3 linked regions of the Caenorhabditis elegans genome follow. The protein of the gene in region 1 purifies or fractionates together with the protein of each later gene. This does not show direct contact. Each region holds a gene or a part of one and is shown in the gene's direction. Other genes may lie near its edges.

What was found. Proteins that work in one complex are often made in the same cells at the same time.
Region 2: the proteins of tofu-5 (region 1) and T22E5.6 purify together in Caenorhabditis elegans (affinity purification with mass spectrometry, with the first as the bait; one study listed by BioGRID). This does not show direct contact.
Region 3: the proteins of tofu-5 (region 1) and snpc-1.1 purify together in Caenorhabditis elegans (affinity purification with mass spectrometry, with the first as the bait; one study listed by BioGRID). This does not show direct contact.

Annotation. Positions count from the first base shown.
Region 1 is NC_003279.8:7,064,392-7,071,165, forward strand, and holds tofu-5 (Twenty One u-rna (21U-RNA) biogenesis Fouled Up), read left to right. Parts: upstream 1-5,048; 5' UTR 5,049-5,050; coding exon 5,051-5,152; intron 5,153-5,200; coding exon 5,201-5,355; intron 5,356-5,404; coding exon 5,405-5,630; intron 5,631-5,677; coding exon 5,678-5,855; intron 5,856-5,920; coding exon 5,921-6,195; 3' UTR 6,196-6,274; downstream 6,275-6,774. Other genes in the region: cutl-6 (ZP domain-containing protein), read left to right, coding at 872-968, 1,925-2,112, 2,162-2,307, 2,695-3,082, 3,133-3,222, 3,293-3,508; nuo-6 (NADH dehydrogenase [ubiquinone] 1 beta subcomplex subunit 4), read right to left, coding at 3,845-4,193, 4,541-4,610, 4,685-4,784; W01A8.6 (Peptidase M14 domain-containing protein), read right to left, coding at 6,365-6,543, 6,596-6,770.
Region 2 is NC_003284.9:6,412,063-6,420,407, reverse strand, and holds T22E5.6 (uncharacterized protein), read left to right. Parts: upstream 1-4,000; 5' UTR 4,001-4,007; coding exon 4,008-4,166; intron 4,167-4,247; coding exon 4,248-4,383; intron 4,384-4,985; coding exon 4,986-5,135; intron 5,136-5,183; coding exon 5,184-5,269; intron 5,270-6,027; coding exon 6,028-6,246; 3' UTR 6,247-6,670; downstream 6,671-8,345. Other genes in the region: K10C2.12 (Ubiquitin-like domain-containing protein), read left to right, coding at 82-145, 190-299; nssp-78 (Accessory protein 7b), read right to left, coding at 6,969-7,126, 7,379-7,427.
Region 3 is NC_003280.10:7,777,622-7,785,173, reverse strand, and holds snpc-1.1 (snRNA-activating protein complex subunit 1), read left to right. Parts: upstream 1-3,872; 5' UTR 3,873-3,964; coding exon 3,965-4,062; intron 4,063-4,110; coding exon 4,111-4,195; intron 4,196-4,245; coding exon 4,246-4,323; intron 4,324-4,368; coding exon 4,369-4,437; intron 4,438-4,482; coding exon 4,483-4,692; intron 4,693-4,736; coding exon 4,737-5,055; intron 5,056-5,116; coding exon 5,117-5,198; intron 5,199-5,244; coding exon 5,245-5,529; intron 5,530-5,582; coding exon 5,583-5,778; 3' UTR 5,779-5,877; downstream 5,878-7,552. Other genes in the region: skr-17 (Skp1-related protein), read right to left, coding at 705-1,209, 1,259-1,296; Spindly-like protein spdl-1, read right to left, coding at 1,961-2,164, 2,210-2,842, 2,891-3,214, 3,261-3,503, 3,552-3,587; mthf-1 (putative methylenetetrahydrofolate reductase (NADPH)), read left to right, coding at 7,425-7,507.

The DNA of each region.
Region 1 (6,774 bases):
AATTACGCAAGCTGTTACTTCTAAAAAACATTGTATACATTTTAGGGTTGTAGTGAACTTTTATAATATTTGCTCAAAAACTCTGAAACATTAAAATGACGTGCTGGTCTGCTTTTATTCTCGAATTATATGATCAAATCTCTGATTTTCTGGTTAAAAAATTCCCTATTGTATTTTGATAGACTTTTTCTCCTTATTTCATTTTTTCACAGGGTATATGAGATGATGTTCAAAGTGGTTCATAATATCCAGTTAAGAATCAAAATACTTCACTTTCAAATTAAGTGTCCTGGGCTTCTGAATGCAGGTGTTGTCTACATATTATTTCTCAAATCAAAATACTCTGTCATTTCTTACGAGCTTAACCAATTCACCTTTTGTATGGCAGCAGCAGGCGTCATACATTTCCATCTCAATTGACCTATTCTCGAGTCTCGGCTGTCCATGTAATTATCCATTTTCACCGTGAACCCTTCTGTCCATCGTATTTTTTTCCCATCGCTCCTCTCTTTCTCTTCATCTCCACAGTTTGACCTTTACACAGAAACTCTTTTTCCCGAATAATATGTAGTTCTTCTCGTAGTTTTCGGAAGAAGTACCGCCCGCCGCAAGGATTTCTCTTCGTTCCGTCCATCTTAAAAACACGAGCTTAATTGAGAAGCGATCATGTCTTCTTGTCCCGCCCGGGAACGTCATCATGCGTCCCGCCCGTATTCTGGTCGTACTAGTTACCACCTATGCTCCTCCCACATTTGTTTGGTTCCCCAGATGAAGTAGAAGAAGAGCATTTAATTTAGTTTTGAACGTGTGTCGTTACAACTACTTATTCTTGTACTTCCTCAAGATTTTTTTATTATTACAGACAGACACAATGCTTCTGAGGTTAGGATTTCTTTTGGTATGCTCAATGCTAGAGAAAGTGATAGGACAAACGAAAGTGGTCAACTATATTGATAACTCTATAATAGGTAAGTTCAATTTTCATTTTACTGAAATTTTTAAAGTTTTTTAAAATTGAACAGTTTATTCTAACTTGTGATTAATCTACTATTATCCAGAGGCAGAAAACTGCAGTTCACCAGATGAATTTTGTTTTGAATTCTAGAATATATAATATGTGATATTGATCTCTGATCACGGTTTTTGACTCGAAGCTTGCAAAATTATCACTTAAAAGACACTATGACCAGAGTAAATTTTATTAGCCGTTCACAAAAAAAATGGTCTCGGCACGACCGAAACGTCGAAGCTACAGTACCCGCAGTTTCCCAATTCATGTTGCAAACTTTAAACTTTTGGAAAAAATACGTAAAATATTTGGAAATAATGAGTAAACATTGTGGAAAATTGCTGCGGATAGATTCAAAGTTCCGATCGGTTCAAGACCGGGTACCGTATATTTCAAAAAATTCAATTTACAGCAAAACTAATCTGACATATGCAGACAAATTCTCAAAAAGCCGTATGAAATTCGTTAAAAATTTTTTTTGGTCTTACACATTTTAGAAAACAAAAGTTGTAACTTGCCTAGACCGATCTTACACCGGTTTTGTTGTTAAGAAAACATTAATCATTTTCTGCATCTTCAAAACGTGTATGCTACAGTAATATATCCTTTTTAAGCAAAAAATCCACAGGCAGATCAAATAGTTGCGACTACTGACCCCATTCCCTACACTTCGGCCTAAGTAGCGATAATTATATAGAGAGAAAGAGTTCAATGTTCTGAATACAAAAAAAATTATAAAGCGTGCGATAATCCATGTCTACAAGTTTGCAAGTCTCAAAGCAATTACAAGATAAATCCACTAAATCTAACCGCAAAAAAACGACCTTCAAGAACAACAAAAATGAGAATAATGAGGTGCGGAAGTGGTCGTGTAAAGCGTATTAAACAGAGCTCCCCTCTCATTTATTTCTACAGGTACACCCAAGGTAATATGCGCGGAAAATGATCTGGCACTCGACATTGTCACCTCCAAACCATTTCGTGGAAATATTTTTGTAAAGGGACGAGCGAAAGACAAGTCATGTCGACAAAGTTATGCGAACAATGGAACAAACTCATACTCATTGCCGCTTGGAAAATGTGGAATGCAACGGTTACGATCGGTAAATGGACCGAAAACGACAATTTTGTGAGATGTTTTTTTTTATTCAGGCAAATCCTCGAGGCGTCAATTTTATGGTCACAGTCATTGTATCATTCCATCCAGCTGGATTCATCACAAAAAATGATAGGGCATTCCATGTTAAATGTTTCTATATGGAACCAGATGAGATTGTTACTCAGAATATTGATGTTAGGTAGGTAATCGTTTATTTTAATATGCCTCATTTCAACTATTGCGTTCAATAATTATTTTTCAGTTTTTCATTTTGAGTGCAACACTGATAGGAACTGCAAGTTTAATTTTAAATCAGTAATATGTATTAAGAAAAAGATACTGAAGTTTTAACATTTTATTTCAATAATTTTACATTGAGATTCTATACTTTTCAGTGTTTAGTATTTGAGGGTGAAAAATCTTTGAACTCACCAGATAAGATTATCGGAAACTCTTAAATTTTTTTTTCAAGTCTATGTTCTTGCAAATTGCCAAATTGAACTTTTTGCGTATTTCGGAGCATTGATGATATTTGAATTTTCAAACACAAATAATTAAAAAAATAATCAAAAAAATTAATTTTCAGTATGATCCCAACGACTGAACTATCTGACAGTATGGTAATGCCAAAATGCGAGTATTCAGTTCGTCGTGATGGTCCAAATGGTCCAACTTTAACATATGCCAATGTCGGAGATATTGTATTTCATGTATGGGAATGTACACCGGCTGATATGGGAATGCTTGTCAAAAAGTGTTTTGTAACAGATGGAGACGGAGAAGATCATGCTGTTGTTGACTTTGATGGCTGTGCAACTGATCCATTCTTGCTCAGTGAGCTGTCTTACGATGCTTCACTTATGCGAGCTCATGCATCAAGTCAAGTTTTCAAATATGCAGACTCAAATCAATTATATTTCACTTGTCAGATAAGATTGTGTCAGAAACAAATGGGAATGTGCCAGGAAGTTACGGTAATAGAGTTCGAAGATTGTTGAAGCAAATACTTATTTTTGATTTTCAGCCACCAAACTGTGGAGTCAAGAAATTGCTGAGTGAAGCAAGTGGTGATGGAAATCGAACAAAAAGAGAAGCTGATCGGTCTGATTATGAGGTAATCATAGATTGTTTCCGGATTATATATTTTTTTAATCCTCCTAACATGAAAACAATAAAATATTTAGATCGACGTAGCAACATCAGAACTTCTTGTACTTGATCCAGCAGATCGTGGGCTCCTTGCTCCTTCTCCATTCTGTGTTCCACGACTACTTCTTCCAGTTCTTCCCCTTATTCTTATCACAATTGTATCATTAACAGTTGTCTCCACAGCACTAGTGATTCGAAGACAAAATCACAAAAAAGAGCTCGATATAATGCAGTCAGGCAGATATTATTGATTTTCACATTATTATATTATTTTATAAATTACACGTCCCGATTGTACGGTTTCAGCTCCCATTTTTCTCTTAAAAATTCCCTTGAACTCTCTCGAAAGTCAGGCACAAATTTCTCATTCTTTTTCTCTGTGATGTCTGTTCCACACATATTTTTACGGAATCTAATTCATCAGGCATCAATGTTATTTTATATAAATTTACGAGTGTTTACATTAATAAAATCTGAATTTTATTTGACGAGGATAACGACACAGCTAAAAAAAAACAAAAATCGAGAAAAAGTTGCTTACATTCGGATCTAAAAGTAAATTTAAGAAAACAGATAGATCGAGACGATTAGAAGTCGATTCCGATGGTTGGAGCAAAGAGACCGGATCCTCCGGTTTGTAGAGTTCTTCCTTGTTGACGATCCCACCAAAGAAGCTTTCCATCCAAACATGCTTCATTCGACTTGTCCATTGGGACAAACATAAGACGAGTGTAAATGTAGAAGAGAGCGAAAACGGTTCCGACGTACAGGAATACGGTGCGTGGTGTGAAACGGAAGAACTCGGCTTGAGTCATATCAGCAGAATACCAACGGAACATTGCTGGATCCATGGTGACTCCCTCCTTGTACTTGAAGCTATGAGGATCGTATTCACGACGGAGATATTCCTTCTTCAAAATCTCCTTGACACGATATCTGAAAGTAATTTTTTAAAAATAAAATGTAGTTTTTTTATCATAAAGTTGGATATTAAAAACTGAATTTATGTTAATTCAGTGTTTAATATCCAATTTTATCGCAACAGTTTTTTTAAAGCAATTTTTGATTTGATACTCTGTAAATTATATCAAGAAACTGTTTTTTTTTGTCTCTATTGCTAATAAATCACTTGAAATAAGTGTTCATCAACGCAAATGTTATCATATATTGATTTTTCAATAGAATTAAATAATTTTAAATTGAGAATATAATTAAAACTATGTTTCTCACTGTTTTTAGAATTTTTTTAAAAACTTTTAAGCAAAAAGCGTTTTTCGTATTACCTCCACAAAACTGCTTTCTTCTCCTCGTCGCTCAGATTGTATTCATGTCCTGGCAGAAATTCGGTCTTTCCTATACAGAACAATTATTATTTTACAAGTTAACAGTAAATTATGAAAAATAAATCGATAAAATAAAAGTTTTACCGTGAGTCTCAAAATATCCAAGCACTGGATCCTGCCACAGTTTCGGAGATTTAATATTTTGGTTGGCAGCTGGTCGAAGAAGTCTTAATGCCAACTTCATTTTGGTTCAACCTGGAATTAAAATATTAATAAACAAAATCGGAAAACAAGACGGAAATTAAGAAAAATAAAATAAAAAGTTCTGAACAACTGGTTCAAACGACACTCCGATATTTCGCAACAGCGCCTTGTTTATCGTAAATCTACATCACATTTCAAAGCGAAAGGAATTTTCCTCAATTCAATTTTCTTCAATTCTTTCCTAAATCGAGGCCATAATTATTTTTTTTCGCACATTAAACTTAACTTAAAACTCAAATTTTAGCCATGGAAACCGACGGCGATCCCACAAATGAAATTCCCGGTAGCTCTATGGCTTTTGAAGTCGCAAACCATACTGTAACCGAAGAACCATCACCACTGGACAGAGTCAGTTTTCTAATAAAATAAACTATTTAAAAATGTAAAATTTTGTAGATTCTCGCAGAAGGTCGCAGCTTCAATGGTGGCAATTGGTCCAGTGACGACTTGAGAAGTTTATTGGATGGAGTGATGAAGTATGGTACCAAAATTGAAGCCATAAACTATATTCACCGAAACATTGTAAAAAAACGATCTATCGAAGAGATAAAGTAAGTTTTTAAAATATATGTTCAACATTTAATCATTATTCTTTTTCAGGGCGAAAATTGACGAGATTCGAGAGATTATCAAGGAACACAAAGAGATTATTCTCCCTGAGTGTTACAAAAATAAATGGATCGAAGCAGGACATCATAATATCACTCCTCCACCATTTTGCCAAGTGGATCCAAATGACGACTGGAGCAGTATCATGGGAAAAATAGTCGATCATCATCATGGATCAATCAACAAGACCCTACCTTCTCTTAGAGATACTTATGAGGTTTTATATTTTATTAGTCAGCAATTGAAAAATGCTCAAATTTTCAGACACTCTTCGAGAATCTCGCTCTAGAATCTAAAACTCACGAAAATGCGGTGGTGACCAAACTTCTCACCGCAAAAGCTACAAGAACTGACTCTCAAAATATAAGATGGCCAGTCATTTACAGATTCATGAAAGCATGTGCCACATTGGAAGAGCAAATGCCAGCGCTCAATGAACTTGGTCAGTAAACCCAGAATAATTCTAACTCTGAGGGAACTTAACCAGCGCTACAGTTTTATTTTCAGAAGCGGCAGTTGTCTCCAAAGTACTAGACACTATCGAAACCGAAGCTACGACAACTCCAGATACTGAGAAATCTATTCTTGCCGGTATTTTCAGTGAATGTCAACAAGGCAATTACCGCTTCTGTGAGCAAGACTATCCTCCGAACGTTATGGCGGCAGTTCAACTGTTCGTGGATCCACTCCGTACCCGTTTTCATGCGATCCCTGAAGTTGCATCTGAAGTCGAATTAATCAACTTTACGAAGGACAACCAGCCATCTACATCGTCCAATTGAAATTTTTATTAATTTTTTGTTATATCCTGTCATATCATCCGGTCGTTTCACTGGTATTTAATACATTGTTATTAAGTTTATTGATTTCAAGTCTAACAAAGACAAAAATGGTAGAAACCCGCTTCTTGACAAGTTCGTCGTCGTCCAAAGACACGTGTTGATTTGTTTGTTATAGCTGTCTGAATCGAGGAGATCTACTGTCTGCTGATGTTCCGTTTGTAGTTGGTTCAGTCGGTTGAAAGTTCTTGGTTTCCTCAACTACCTGATCGAATATTACTTCAATTCCAAGCCATGTCTCTTTTCCAATTGGAATAAGCCAATGTGGTTTGACTTGGAATGCGAACCAAGCTGAAATTGAATGTTATTCTAGTTTTCATGGAAGATCTAAACGAATTCTTACTTTTCATATCAGGTGGCAATTCCAGTACATAGACATATTTTGTCGGAGTATTCTTTTTAATCCAATCAGTTGCTCCTCCAGTTGCTGTTCCAAGCATATCTGCTGCAGTTCCAACTCGATATTTTGTCTCCCGATAAGCGAAAACGCGATCAGCTGCTCTGTTTGCCAGAATTTCCTGA
Region 2 (8,345 bases), on another chromosome or scaffold:
TCATACTAAAGTATTTTTCAAATTCTAGAAAATCTATAAATTTTCATATCTTCTAAAACCTTCCTATGTAAACTGTTTCAGGCAAAATCTAAAATTGAAGAGATGACTACTGTTCCTTCACAAATTCAATGGATTGTCTTTGGGAGTAAGATTTTTACCTAAAAAATTACAAAAGTCTAATGTTTCTAGCAACTCACCTAGAGGACTCCAAGCCACTCCGTGAATACGGAATTCGTGATGGATATACTATTTACTCTACTCCAACTTATGTCGAGATTCAAGACATGCCAAATCTTTGATTTGTTTTTTTTCTTAATAAAGTTAAATTGATTTATTTATGATTTGAATCTATCTGTAAGAGCAAGTTAACTAGTAAAAGGTGATATTTGAATTCTGTTATGAGATGTTCTGAACATTGATCAAAAAACTATATCGTTTGAAACATTTGAAAAAATAGCCTTTTTTCAGCTAAAATCTTATATTTTGCCAGAAATATAAGATTTTAGCTATATATATATATTTTTTTTTTGTCTGGTGTTTTTTTTTGAGTATGACCCATTAATGCATATTTTTGTAACTTATTACGTGTTCTTTTCTTAATTAAGATGTATTTTCAGTAGACAAGTATGCAAATGTGATACTATTTTGTGGACCAATATACTGAAAATGTAACTAAATTAACGAAAAATGGGTAATAGATAACAAAAATATATATTAAAGGGCGGTAGTCAGTTTAAAATCAAGTTCCGTGTTTTACAACACTGACGGCATTTTTTCCAAAACTTTAAACATCCATACTTTTTTTAACAGAAGGTCTAAGAAAGTTGGTAGTTTGGGATTATTTTGGTTCTGAAAAACAACGCCTCAGGTTTGGGTGAAAAAAAGAAACGTATATACATACAATTATGAAAAAAGTTTTTTGTTACAAGTCAAAATTGAAACATGAAATCTTGGATTTCTATCTCTTATTCATGCGTGTCTTGAATTGATTACCCCTCTTCGCCTCAACTTTGTTGGCTCCTTGCTTTTGACCATTGAGCATTGTGTCAATTTTGGCAACTCTCGGACCTCTGCAGCCAGAAAAATACATTTTCTCGCCCTCCCCTCTTTCCGTTGTCTTCTCTTCAATTCGACGATGACAAAGAAAGAAATCTTTTCATTAGGTTTGGCTTTGCGAGAAGTGTTGGAATGAAGATGAGTTGAGCAGGAGACACTTCTCGTTTTCTTATTCATTAACGCTTTCATATGCCATGAAATCGATTCTGATGCTTTTTTTCGTGTAACATCTCATTATGAGCGGAAATGTTTGTTGAAGGTGCACAACTTGTTGATATCACGTTTCAAAAATTGTTTGCTTTTTGGTTTTCTGAAAAACAATTGTAGAATACCCCCAATTCTTACTTTTTTCTTTAACACTAAACACGCAAAGTTGTTAACACTATACTAATTAATGAATTCATGCCCAACCAATGACTTACGCACATTATTTTGATATTCACCGTTTGAAAGTTGAGTTTAAATTACAGTTTTATTAAGTTGGCAAGAAAGTCCTGTCCTATTTTTCAATCATTTATTTCTCGAAGCAAACTAAAACAAGAAATCAGTTATATGTTCCATCATGATCAACAACGTCCTGCCAACGTTGAGGTAACTTGTGGATCCCCTGCCTGTAGAATCCAGCGGGCAGGGACTCGAAGTATTGCTTGATATCAGATTTGAAATTTTCTCTTGTTTTGAAAGCTATACCTTGAAGGGCAAGAGTCAGATCGGAGAAAAGCCAATAATCACTTAGAGCAATGTCAGGAAAATTCGGTGGTAGAGGGAGAATCACCCATCCATATTTTGTCAGATCCTGCACCACTTGTTTTAAAACATGTGGTTGAGAGTTTTTTTTTTTTTTAATTTTTTTTCAATCGTTAAGGTCTCAACAAAACACTATTCAGTCAACGTTTTGGTAAATGTCCGAAATTTGGAAAAATTGTTAGAATTTCCCCTTCTGGCGTCAGACCATTTTTGATATTTGCAAGTTAATTTTTCGTTCAATTACTTTAAAAGGAATAGTGTGCCATCTAAATTGCAAATGACTCTCCAGACTTTTTCACGTGTTTCCAACAAAAATATTGAAAAGACAACAAAAAAAATTAAAAATGTTGGGTACTTTTAATTGAAATTTAAAACTGCTGTGAAATATTTTAAAGACATTTATATTAAATTGTTTTTGGGCTCAAAATATTTTTAAGGAAAAAAAAATTAAAACAAATGTCTTTGAAAATATTTTCTTAACTAATTTTCATTAACAAAACTTTTTATTCAGACATATTCAGACGCGATGCTGTTGTGAAATTTTTGATGATTCTTTCGAAAAAAAAATCAAACGAATTATATTTGAGTTAAATTCTATCAGCAAATGTTCCAACGGGCAGTTCCATCACTCAGCTATATCTGTCAACGCGTTTTCTCTTTCTCCTTTTCTTCAAAATGTCAATACTCAAGTGGCGTCCAGCACTCTTTTTGCTATACTACATATGCTTTGCTACTATAGCAACCAATTGCTTTTTGACTTCTTGAGAGGGAAACGGAGAAGAGGATTACCTCTCTTCATCAGTTTGTTTTTTTTTCCTTTTTCTTGAGTAGCTGATTCATCAAAAAATTTTCGGTGGTTGAAACAGAAAAGCACTTTCAAACCAAACAATGAAAACCGGCAGAAGAGTTGCCTTGATATTTGTTTTAATGAAAAAGCACTGTTTTTATATTACTTTTTACAACTGGACAGAGCCTGAGACAAAGATGAGCAAATTGCGAGGAAAAGATTTTGAAATAAGATTGTGAGCAAGAAGTTACACAAACTGCTTGGTCTTTCACTCAAGTCTTTGTTTCACCTGCTTTCTCATTTTGTTAAATTTCACCTGAAGTGTTCCGTTGTATTTTGATCTGCAAAAGAACTGTTTTGTTCTGAAAGAAACTGTTATAAGAAAAACACCTGTTGTGTTTTGAGATTTCATTAATTCGCAAAAATCAAAAATTTTCATTGATTTTTGGATGGTTCTTAATTAAAATTTTTTATTCAATTTGCGATTTGGAATCTAAATTTTTTAAATGCATAGTTTTCCTGGTATATTTTGTAAATTTTTTTAGTTTTGCGAGAATTTGAATCCACAAATTTTGAATCAACAAAGTTGATAATTTTCCGAGTTGTTTTGTTGATATTACTGTTAAAATTTCAAAATTTCAAGAAAAAATTTATAACAATTTTTGGCAAATATTTTTGAAACAACTTTTTATTAATTTATTTATTTTTCCAAAAATTCGATTTTCCCGTTTTACACAGAACATTTTCGAAACTGTTGTACACAAAACAATATACCATCTTAAATTAACTGGACGTCTCATTATTTCAACATATTGACTTCTGGCGTCCTTGCAACCCGAATCAATGCGTCTCCCGCGCATCTATTGTTGATTCATTGAAGTTATGCAGAAACTGGTGGATGAGATAGCGCTATTCAGATGTAGATCGCAGACGCTTCTTACTGTCTCTCCTCTATCTCGGGTTCTCGTTTTCCCACATTTCCACGACGGCAATACGATCTAACAAGAAGAGGAAATGGGAGAGAAATGACAGGTAGAGACTGCTGTATAGCTATCCTTGTTTCTAAATATCTTAGGAATTGGTAGTCAGACAACATTTTTTGTTGTACATAAGGTATTTGAAAATGAAAACAGTTTTATTGAATAAAAAATTCGAGCAAGTGCAAAAAAAAACCAATTCAAAACTCATTCATACATTTCTAAACAAGTCGAAAAGCAAGTAGATATCCCATCTTCAAACTTGAATTATTTTCACTTTTCCCTCTATTCTCAAGTCAAAATGCAAATGTTTCCCAAGAGATTTCTCTGTTGGCCTCAATCCTCATGTTTTCTGTGCTATTTTATATATAATTTGAAATTTTTTTTTTTTGAAAGCGCAAACTTTACTTATTAAAATTTCTGTATTTCAGCTTTTCACAATGCCGGGAAGTATATCAAGTACTCCGGAGAGTCCAGATATAATGCGTTTTGTAGTATCAGTTGGTTGTCTCGTTTTTTCACTTATGCTCACGTCATTTGGAATTGTTAATAATGCTTGGATTGTTTTGGACAGACCAAACGAAAACGATGAGTTTCAGGTAAGTAATTTTGTTAAATTTCAATTGAGAAGAATAGGGTGTTTAAGTTGTTATACTTGAATAATTAAAAATATATTTCAGAGAGGAATTCGAGGACACGATTGTTACCGTAACAATGCACCAGGAAACGAGAACATCTTCTGCCTTCCATGGGATTTTGAAGATAAAGCGGAAAAGTTTCCAGATCCGTTTACCAAAGTGTTGGCCGCTTCAACTGGTACGTTGTTTGAATTTTGCCAAAACTCCCGATTGCCGAAAATATGAAAAATTTCCAAATTTCTCTATACGAAAAAGTTCACGTTTCAAGCTCAATGTGTCTCAAATCTCAGTTTTCTGAATCTGTTTTCTGGAACACGACTGAGATGACAAATTGTGCCAACATTTACTTTTTTGTTTTCAAAATGTAGTCACGGATGAAAATTGGCAATTTTGGCATCATCAAAAACTGTCAAAACAACCGAAAATTAACATTTTCAACAATTGCTCAAATTTGAGTCGGCGAAAGTTTTTAGAAACCAGAAATTGTGGAAATCTGTTTTTTTGATTGATTTAAAATAATTTATCATAATAATTAAACATTAAGTTAAGTTAAATAAATAAATCAATCAATAATTAGGCATGTAGGTCGTCCCAATTGTTTTTTGGCCTGCATTGCAGATCTCGATAAGAATTATCTGAAAATAAGGAAACGATAAACAAACGTTTTAAGTTTTTTAACTTTAGTTGAAAGTGTTTCGATGTGGCTGTAATAAAAAATAAAGGTATTATTTAAAAATATATTATAAGTTTATTTTTCTCCACTAAATATTTATTTTTCAGTTGTTCGAGTGACATTCCACATTGCTCTGGTCATATTGGCGTTTCAAATTTTCTACCTCGCATATACCATTGGACACTGTTGTAGCCAGTCATTTACAGAATTGACAAAAAAGCGAAAACTCGCATTTTTCCATGCAATGCTCGTTCCAGGTGCGGTTCCAAAACGTGACTACAAACTATTAATGCTTATTTTTGCAGTTGGCCTTTGGATTATTCTCCTACTACTTGTACTTTACGAAACTTACACTGATAATCTTCTCCCATTGTCTCTGAGAAAAGAAGATGTAAGATTTTTACGATGATTCAAAGAAAGTATAAAGTTACTTCATATATTCCAATCGAAGCAGAAGGGTTTCTAGCCTTTAATTCAATAAGCTGTTTGTTCAGCGAAGCGTACTATGAAAATTATTTTTAAGTGTTTTGGTATTGCAACGAGTGTTCTTTGCAAATTTAATAGTCTTTTTTCGAAAGGGTGTATTAGAATCATAAGCTGAAGTTATCTGACGCAAATATGATAAAAATAAATCGTTATGATTTTTACGATTACTTTTTTTAAAAACTTCATACTGAGGAAAATAAAGTTATAATATATTTTGAAGTACTTTATTAAATTACCAAAATCTCTTGTTTTCATCAATAATTTTTCACCCACAAAAAATGTCTACGAAAAAATGAACATTGAAAAAAACCAAAACGTGATGTAAGGTCTGAAAGGTTACCAGCCCACCAATAATTGGAGAATTCTAGGTCATTATAAGCAAATATATAAGTTGTATTTAGCTGAATTCTTCCACTACTCAATAACCTACATACATTTTTAAGACAGAACGCATAAATTATTTTGATACTTCAAATTTATCAAAACGTTATTGATATCAGAAAATTATAGAAATTTCCTAGCTTTTTACTAAAAAAAAAAGTGTAGACGAAATTTGAAAGTTTGAGTTTAAAGAAACATATTTTGGTAAAACGAAGCAAAAAACATATTTTAACTGTTTCCTAGCTAATTAATTCTTGTTATTCAAAACGATTTTATTTTCAGTACAAATACAAAATCGGATCCGGCTTTTGGTTTTTCTTCCTCGGTGGCCTACTTCCATTTATTGGAGCACTCTACTTCTTGTTTAGAGAGCAGATGGATGCATCGAAAACTCGTCTTAGAGGACTTATCAATCGACATCAGCCAATACCATCAAATGTGAACGAGAGTGACCGTGACGGGGTAGAACTGGTCAGGACAAATCATGGAGGAAGGGTGTAGCTTGAGTCTTGCTCAGCAAAATATTGTCAATGTTTCTGAAGCTTTATGTATTTTTACCGATGATTTTATCTAACAAGGAAAGGTTTTTATTTTCCCGTCCCGACAGACATCAAAACGAGAGATGTGCATTCTGCACTCTGAACTCCAACCGTTTTGATCTGAAATTTTTTTCTCTACTTTCCAGCCAGTTTTGGCAGACTTTCGACATTTAAGGATGTTTATGGGTAAATTATCATTTCGGAAATTTTAGTTTTTGAGTGGTACTGAGCCGTTTTCGATTTGATGTCTGAGGGTTGAAAACCTTTCCTTGTAGTTCTACATTACACTAACAATGCTCAAATTTTGTTCAGTCCCGCCGAATTCCAGATCTCAATTTGTTTCTAAATGTATTTTCAGAAAAAATAAAAACATTTTCAAATGATGACGCAATACATATTTATATCTAGAACGGGATCTTCGAGGACTGGAAAATACGTCGTTTTTAGTGTCTCAATCACGCTGCCAGTGATTCCCAAGTGGCCCTCGCAAGCTCGTTTACATACTGATGGGAGCTAAGAAAAGATGCGGAAGAAACACAAAGAAATTCAGAGTATTGTTCTACCATCAATCATGTTTGAGGCATGAAGCGCTACTTTTCGGTGGAAGTTTATCGGTATTTGTTAAAAGAGTGGATAAAAACACGTCACTTTAATTCACTTCATTTTTAAATAAACACAAAAAAATCAAAATAGAGCGGTGAACCGCGAACAAGGACATAATTGATGGCGGCAGACGAATGCGCGACAGCAGAAGCACACCTTGCGATCCTCCTCCAAGTCTATAGTCTCCTCAGGATCAACTTCTGCTCGGTCAATCATTGCGATAAATTTACTGCATACTCCTGAAAGTTAAACAATATTTATAAATGCTGAAATTAATGTGTTAAATATATGTTGTTGGTACTTTAAACTACTTTTACTTCCTACATATTTCAATTTCAACATCACTCTTTTCACTTGTCAAGTCAAAGTAACTAACTAACTCCCACACACACACATACTTTAAATTGAAATATTGCAAGTACAACATGCAGCATGAGAAAAAAGTATCGTAAAACAAAGTATGAAACATTTTCAAACTATGAAAAACGTACCTGCAAAAAGGCAAGCAATCAGAAGAAGTGTGATGAATTTAGGTGACATAGTAAATCTTGTCAAGTAAATACCAAACAAATTGGGTGCAAAAAGAACTTAATAGAAGTCAAGAGGGACAAGTCAAAGTGACGAAAAAGGCGTGTGGCTCCCACTCGAGTTCACAGCTACCCACAGATACCAATTTTAGAACTAGGCCCCGCCTCTCTCCTAAGAAATGGGGTTGAGTTGAAATGCATGGCGTCACTTTTGGGTCTAAATGTGGTGCAGTAAAGTATTAAATGTAGTGTTTATGAAAATAACAATTTTACATAGAAAAGCTGAAGTAACCTGGAAACTTTGAGCAAAATAAAAAATATTTACACCCTTTAAAATGACTCGACTAAAGTTTAAGATTATATCTTCGTAAACTTGGGAATCTATAAAAAGAAAAACTAAATAAAACGATTATTGATAACCTGAGTAATATTTAAAACTGGTTAAAAAACGTCGAAAGTCACTGAAACCCTCTGAATAAATCAGATTTTTTAATTGATTTTGATTCCAACCAGTTGCCAAAAATACTTCCAGAAACATCTCTGAAACGTGTTTTATAGAATAATAGGAAAACGCGCTAAAACACGGTAGCTGCTTGTGATATACACTCATATTTTCAAGACTTAATTTTAGCCATAATTTTTTGAAACACCAATTCTCATTCCTAAAGTCTAGCGAATGACAGCTTTTTAGCAACAAATAATCTAAAAAATTGCTAATCAATAGATCTAATATCTTAAAAAATAGTTCAAAATGATTTTCACAGAGTGAAACTTAGATTTTTAACTACAGAATTACAAATAATTCTAAAAGTTTTCGGTGGCATTAAGCGTAGAATAGCGCGATTGTGGAAAATTGATAAAAATCTATAGTGCCAAAATGGCCAAATAAAAATTGTTTCAAATTTCATGGTCTACCTATGTTTTAAATAAT
Region 3 (7,552 bases), on another chromosome or scaffold:
ACCAAACCCTTCCCTTTGTACTGGTATTTTTCTAATAATTCCTCTATGTTCTAAAAATAAACTAATTACATTACAAGGTAATCCACTTGTATATCATTTACTATATATAAAGCGCTTATTCCGTTTGTCCATAGTTTGTAGTCTATGTAGTCTTTGTAGTCTGCGAAGTTTTAGCTTCTGGAGGGATAGTGAGTTGGGGGTAGTGTAGGGATATAGTCGGGGTACTGTAGTGGTACAATGGTGGTACGGTAGGAGTACTGTATGATTACGGTAGTTTCAGAAAAATTGGTTTTCAGCTCCAGAAGTCGGGGGCCGCGCCGGAGGTGCGGTCCACGGCTGGTATATATATAATACTGGAGGCGGTCACTCAAGCATCCATCAAGAAATTATGACTTCCGGAAAAAATTTTCAGATCCATATGATTGCGATGAAAACTTCCGACGCCTAGGAAAACCTCTATTGATGGCAACATCTAGTACTCATTTTCTTGTTTTTCCATGATTTCAACTACATACAAATGTGATTTTTTATAAAGTAATTTTCATTGAGCGATCCTATGCAATTTTAAAGATATAATAAATAACAAACAAAAATAGTATTCAAAGAATAACTCGATTGCAATTTGACATGGCTGAAATGATTGTTTCCATAATACCGGTTTTGTGCAATTGAAATATTTGAAGATCGAAGATAGTAACAGAAAATTAATCATCCCATGTAGCAGTCGATGTAGATGGTTGTTCCCATGGTTCAGGTATTCCGAAAAGTTCTCGCATTTCCTCGGCATTTTTTCCTTTCGCAGAATTGGCAACTGTTTTGCAGCCGTAATTGATAAGTCCGGTAACGTCCAAATGATATGCAGCAGTAATCAGATCGAACAAATTTGACATTGGCAGTCTACTGAGAAAATGTCTATCCCAGGAAGGAATGCAAATATTTTTCTTGTCCTTCTCGGCCAGTGCAATTGCAGGATCATCTTCTTTGTGTTTATCGCACCATTCAATCAGTAATTTTAATGTAAATCCAACAACATTGTTCACAGGTACCGGTTTTAATTCAGCACAGTATTCCTTGTCATATCCTAGCTCTCTGATGGTTGCAGCAAGTGTACTTGAGAGGAGGAGGGCCCGGATGTCTCCCTGCAACAAATGTCCATCTGAGGATGTCAGTTGAAGTAATCGAGGTGGCGGACCGGACGGCTTTGGTACACTAAACGAAATATTAGATAATTATTTTTATCAAAATGTTATAAAAATACCTTGGTGGTGCTCGTTTTGTATTGTTCTTCTTCGGCATCTGCTTTCCGGACGAAATGTGATGTCTGAAATGGAAAAATTAGAAAGGAAACGAAATTTTGCTGAGAAAATGATCTTAAAAACTTTTTGTCGAACACCATTCGCCACAGAGCGCATTTGCGTTCTTGTTCTACTTCATTCGGCGGCAAATTCAAATTTTAAAACACCCTCGCACAACACAAAAAATCATCGTAAATATTAAAAACGATCAATATCATGCGAACCCCACACCAGAACAAATTCGAACGGTTTACAATTTTTAAATTTTAAGCTCTCTCAAATGTTACTAGTAGTAAGAACTGAACCTATATCGAAAGCATATCCATACGAGATCTCCGAAGATTGTAGGGAAGAGAAAATCTGGAAAATATTTTTCTATATTCTACCCCATATTTACAATAATAAATATTAAAAATATATAAATCAATAAGTGATCGTGTAATATCGATAGGGTTTCGCGCTCCACTGCACTCCCGCCAGCGGCTCTATCAAGTTCTTGAACATCAACAATCTAAGAATGAGCGTTATAATAAAAATAATTTTATTTGACATGCATTAAATAGGAAACATTGTAGAATAATCGACAAAACTTGGTGAATAGAGGGGACGAGATCAATACAGGCGGTTTTATATGAATACGAGATGACTACGAACATGATGTTTACTCAGTTTTCCTTTGTTTCTGAGGTTGATGGCATTTGAAGAACAGCCGGTTTGAATTTTGGAACGGGCTCGGACAGTTTGATATAGTTGTAACGCGGCGTCGGAGTCGCCAATTTCTTTTCAGCTTGAGCTTTCATACGACGTTCTGCCCATTCTGAAGTATCATCTTTGATGGAGGAACGAGTGGTGAATTTAGCTGCTGGTTTCTGGAAAAATAATTATTTATAGTGAAAAGTTGCACTTTTATCTACCTGTGGCGTAACGGCAATACTGGATAATGAATGCCCTAATTGAGGCATGGGTTCCACGTTTTTCGGTTTAATGAAGAATGATGGTCGTCCATTGTTAAGAGTTTTCAGAGGAGCAGCAAGAAGCGGGTGCTCGAAATCCTTATTGACAACTGGTGCAGCTTTTCTGTGAGCACATTTATTGTCGAATTGTAGTTGCACAATGTCCGCTTTGAGATTTTCTACTTCCTGTTGCAATCCACGAATAATTGTCACGTACTTTTCGTTGTCCTTCATCAAACCGTCAAAACCTCCTTTCACGCTCGCAATTGACAATTCGAACGACTTGAAGTAGCCGGTAATCAACGCTCCCACTTCGCGTTTTGGAATTGACCTCATTTTAATGAACATTCTTTCCCACAAATGAACCCTTTCCGTTTCCAGGTGACAAACTCTGTCTCTGAGACGACGCATCTCTTTGACATCAATATCACTTGTGGTCATTCGGGTAACGTTGAATCTTTTTGTGGATGACCGAAGTCTTTCTTCGACTTCTTCTACTTCCATTCGAAGACGTTTTACCATCCCTTTCAGTGCTCGATTCTCTCCATGAAGAACTTTCAGGTCTTCTTCAACCTTCCGCTCGGCATCAATAACCTGAAGAATATTAAAAAAAATGCAGTTAATTGATATTTTTTAACCTACCTCAGAAAACATTGAATTTCCGCGTGCCGCTAATTTTCCTTCATGGGAGTTTCTCTCATCAAAAAGCTCTCCTTCCAATCTGGCAATTTCCTCATCACGCGTCTCCATATGATTTTTGAGGTCCCGAATATGATCCATCATCGACTCAATTTCATCTTTCAAGTTGACCGCTTCTTTTTCGAGTTCGGCGTTTCGTTCGTAAAGAGCAGTCGCCGTCTCTTTGTATTTCTGACAATCTTCGCTAATACGAAGCATTTCAGATTCTCCGAAGGAATTGGAATCATCATGTTCGGGAATCACTGATCCGTTGGCAAACTCCTTATTCTGAGAATTCAATATATTAATGTTGCCCACAATGATGAAAACCTACAATTTTTTCGAGTTTGTCGATCTCACTACGCAGTGAATCGATGAGAGCGTCCCGATCAAGAATTGTGGCGTTTTTTCCGTCCATCTCAACATGAAGATCGCGAAGTTGTTCACTCAATTCTTGTGCACGTTCTTCGAGTGAAAGTTTGGAAGAACAAGGTTTTCCCTGATTTTTGAGATCGTCTTCCATCTCCTCGAGCATTTCATCTTTTTGACGGAGAATTTTCTTGAGCCTCTCAACGTCCTGAAATATTAGGTTTAGTTGGTAATAGATGAAATGATAAAACGTTACAGCAAGTAATTGGAGCTTCTCCTCGTCGTCAGGCATACTGATTGAAGTTCGATTCTTCTGAAAACATGAAAATGTTTCGATAGAAAACGATCAGTAGAATATTTTTCACGGCAACACGATTTATAAGAACGTTTCACGCAGATCTATAGCTTTTGATGTTTTAATAAAGCGTAAAATTGATTGCGAATATATTTAAACTAATTTTATGGGAATATTTTGAGCTAAATTATATCAAAACGATTGAAAAACAATATTTTTAGGTAAATTGAGGCGCAACTCATTTTGAAATGCGTTGAATACCGCTGGTTCCCGCCGAGAATTGGTTGTTCACGATAGAGCGCACTTGCATGTTTTTATTTTCGTCAATTATTTTCGGATTTATTTCTGAAGATTCAAGGAAAAAACGAGTCGCAATGGCTTCTGGAGGTATTCCCACGCCATTTATGGGAACTGGAGTTAAACAAGATCTTCATTTATTGTGCAACAAGTTTATATCTATGGGATCCAACAGGTATAGTTAGAAAATGTATTATTTGATGGAAAATCTTGATTAATTAAGAATTCGAGACTTTGCTGATGTTTTTCGGGATATGCATTTTGAGACCATTCTTCATTATCGATTAAATCCTGCCGAATGCTTAGAGGTAGCTTTATTTTGATTTTATTTAGTCTATTATAATATTCCGGCTTTCAGTTTACTGAATACCTGTTACAACACGCAGCAATGTATTTCGGAAAAGTGAATGAAGTTGGAGCATTCAGGGCATTCAAGGTTTGAAATAGAAGTAAAAATAAGTCTGAAATGTTATATTTTCAGGAGAGGCTATTCGGAGTTTATGTTTGCTATGCGTTGTACAATTTGCAGCCAGTTGATCATGTCTGTCAGGTGATTAATTCTAAGTTTAATTTAGTTTTAAAAAATTTAATTCAGATTCCGGTCACTGCGGTACAATTCGAAGAGCTTCTCGAATTTCAAAAATCTTTAGAAGTCGAAAAACTTCTTGAACCAATTGCGGCTCTCAAAATGCTTATTCTGAAGAAAGCGTTTAGAATTAAAGTGTTTCAGTCGACATATGATCCGGCAACCCACAAAAAATACCTTGCCGAGGAAGAGTTGCCCTATTTTAACAAAATTCCAGTTGTAAGTAAGTTAAATTATTGGAATTTTTTCATAAACAGTTTCAGGAGCCGTTTTCCAGTGTTACGAAAATGCTCAGTTCTGATATTATGACGGAATTATCATTTATTCACGGAGTTTACACAGAGGCTAAGCAAAAACTTGGACTAAGTGATACTCTAACGGGGCTCAAATCACCATTACACGAAATCAAGGGCATTGTCGAAAAATATAAAGAACAGTTCGAAAGTTCTCCAACAAATCCAGAAATTAGTAGCGCTCCAGAGGAAACAGCTGGTTCAAGCAGATCAACTTTGAGAAGTAAAGCATATGCTGAAGGACTAAAACACACTAGACAAAGAAGGCATCTTGATCCAAACATGGAAGGTACATTTATTACACGAAAATATGTTTTTTTTTTTCAAAAGTCAGCGTTCAACTTTTGCAGAAAACTTCAAACATCTTACCGCAAGAACGTTTGGTGACATCGCCCAGGAATGTTTGGATGATAATGATGCTCAGGTTCCAATGTAAGCAATTACAGTTTAACCCCAAAATAATAACCTATTTTTACAGCCCGATTGATCGCCCTGTAAGACAACGGCGACGCAGAAAAACGACAACAGTTAATCCTGAAGAGTTATTAGACGATAATGCATTGGCTGAAGAAGTTCTACGAAATGAGTATGCTGCCAGAATAAAGCCTGAAATACCTGAAGATTCATTGGGCGGTAAAGTAGGCAAGCAGGGAACATCGGGAGTTGCAAGAATTCGGGCACCAAAACGTGCAAATGCGAAATTGGTTGAAGTGAAACGAGAACAAATCCCACAAACTTCTGCTCCGATAACTGCTTCCCAAATGTAAGTGAAGATTTTTGTTTTTTTCTTCAATTAAAAATTATTAAATTATTCAGTGACGAATCATTCACATCGCCTGCGAACAAGAAGAACAGAAAATCGGCCAGCGTAGTTGAAGTGAAACCTCGAATCAGTGATGAATGGGCCAACAAACTGCACGCATGGCATGGACAAGTCGAGGCTACGGATAAACATTTGAAAAAGTTGACAAGTCAAATTAAGCTGGAAGTTATTGAAGACGAAGAAACATAATCATTTCATTTTCCTTGCTAACCATTTTTTTTAATGAAAATTATACTACATGAATTTTTTTTTTGAAAATTAAATTAAATTTGCTGCTGAGTTGCCTATCATCTCCGACTTTTGTTATTTTATTAATCTCTGTTGGTTCAATCTTTTCAATCTTATACTTTTATCTGTCCAACTTCCAATTATCACCAGTGATAAATCGCCGCAAAAGACCAATTGAAATGGCCTGATATCGTGCATTACATGATTATTTCATACAGTTATCATCTTGTGCTGTAGCCCATTCGTGAAAGCATTGAGTGCACTTTTCAGAATCTTGTTGTAGTTCTACTGAAAATTGGTTTTAATCCTATAGGATAAAATTTTCGTTTGTGATGGGAAGGCAGTATTGAGAAATTGTGGTTTTCGTTTGAAAACGTACTATGCTAAAGTTCTCTTCAAATGACGATTAGTTCAAGGTCTTGCTTAGTTTCCCATTCTTTCTTGAGATACTATCAAATAGTAACTATCTACGACTTTCTTACTTATCCTTTTTTTCTAGAACGCATCCGTATTTTCTCAGTTACTCTTGCACCAAATAACTTATATGACTGCAGATATCAGAAAATATTTAATATGTTATAAAAACTACAAAAAAAAAATTTTGTTTTGAGAAAACAACAGAATTTTCAAAGTTGAATAATAGAGCAAATACCTAAATGCTAAATTTCGCTGTTTAAAAATTACGGTACCCGGTCTCGAAACGGCCAATAATTTTCAGTGAAAGGAGAGGAGTGCGGTTTTAAGGAGTACCGTTGTTCAATTTTTCTTAGTTTTCACACTCACTGTTTATTAAAAATTGAAGCTTAAAAAACAGGAAACGATAAAAAACTAAGAAATCAGCAAACTGCTGAAACTACTGTACTCTTTAAAGGCGTACACTTGTTTTTGTTGACATATTTTTAATCGTGTCAGGTACCGTACAACATGGCACTGGCATCTCCATATAAACATCACTGCATAAGACAAACAAAGAGAAGTTCCACGTTGAACTATTTGGCAAATTTTTGGCAAAACATTATTGTTGTTGCCCCGATAACAACCCAACCAAATCGTTCACAGGTCATCATGCACCAAAATATTGTTAATACTCATTTGTTATCAAATTAAAAGACTTCCCCACTCACTTTTTCTGCTTCAAATACCGCTATTTTCAAAAAATGTTTCGATTTATCTTTTTTGTCTTTTGTAAGAATCCGATTTCTATGAAGGAATCGGCGCCCCGCTGAGAATGTGTATTGCTTCATGTATGCAAAAGTGCACTGAGTGCCACGACGAACGCTTTAGTGAGAGAACGAGAGACCCAGCATGCTATGTTCCTTCTATATAAATATTGAACAAAACAAGTGGTTTTATGCCAGAAGCACGTTTGTTTCTCATTTTCTTGTCATTTTTGCTTAGATTAAGAACATTTAGCGGACATTGATAGTTCTATGACTTCTCTTTTTTCCAATTTACCAACCGTTTGCCACCTTAACGCTCCGCCCTTTTCTCTGATTGTATAAAAGAATCGGACTTAATACGAGCAAATTTCAGTCGGTGAATCTCATCAAACAACGGATTCGTGGTTCCCGACAGAGAATAACTACGGTTAAAACGAACCAAGGAAAATGACGAATACTGGAGAAACTAAAGTTATTGAATCTCATGGAACCATTAAGAAGATCGATTCTCTGTCCACAATGCCATATTGGTAGGTTCTTTATATTAATCTTCTAAACTTAGAGCATCTTTTTAT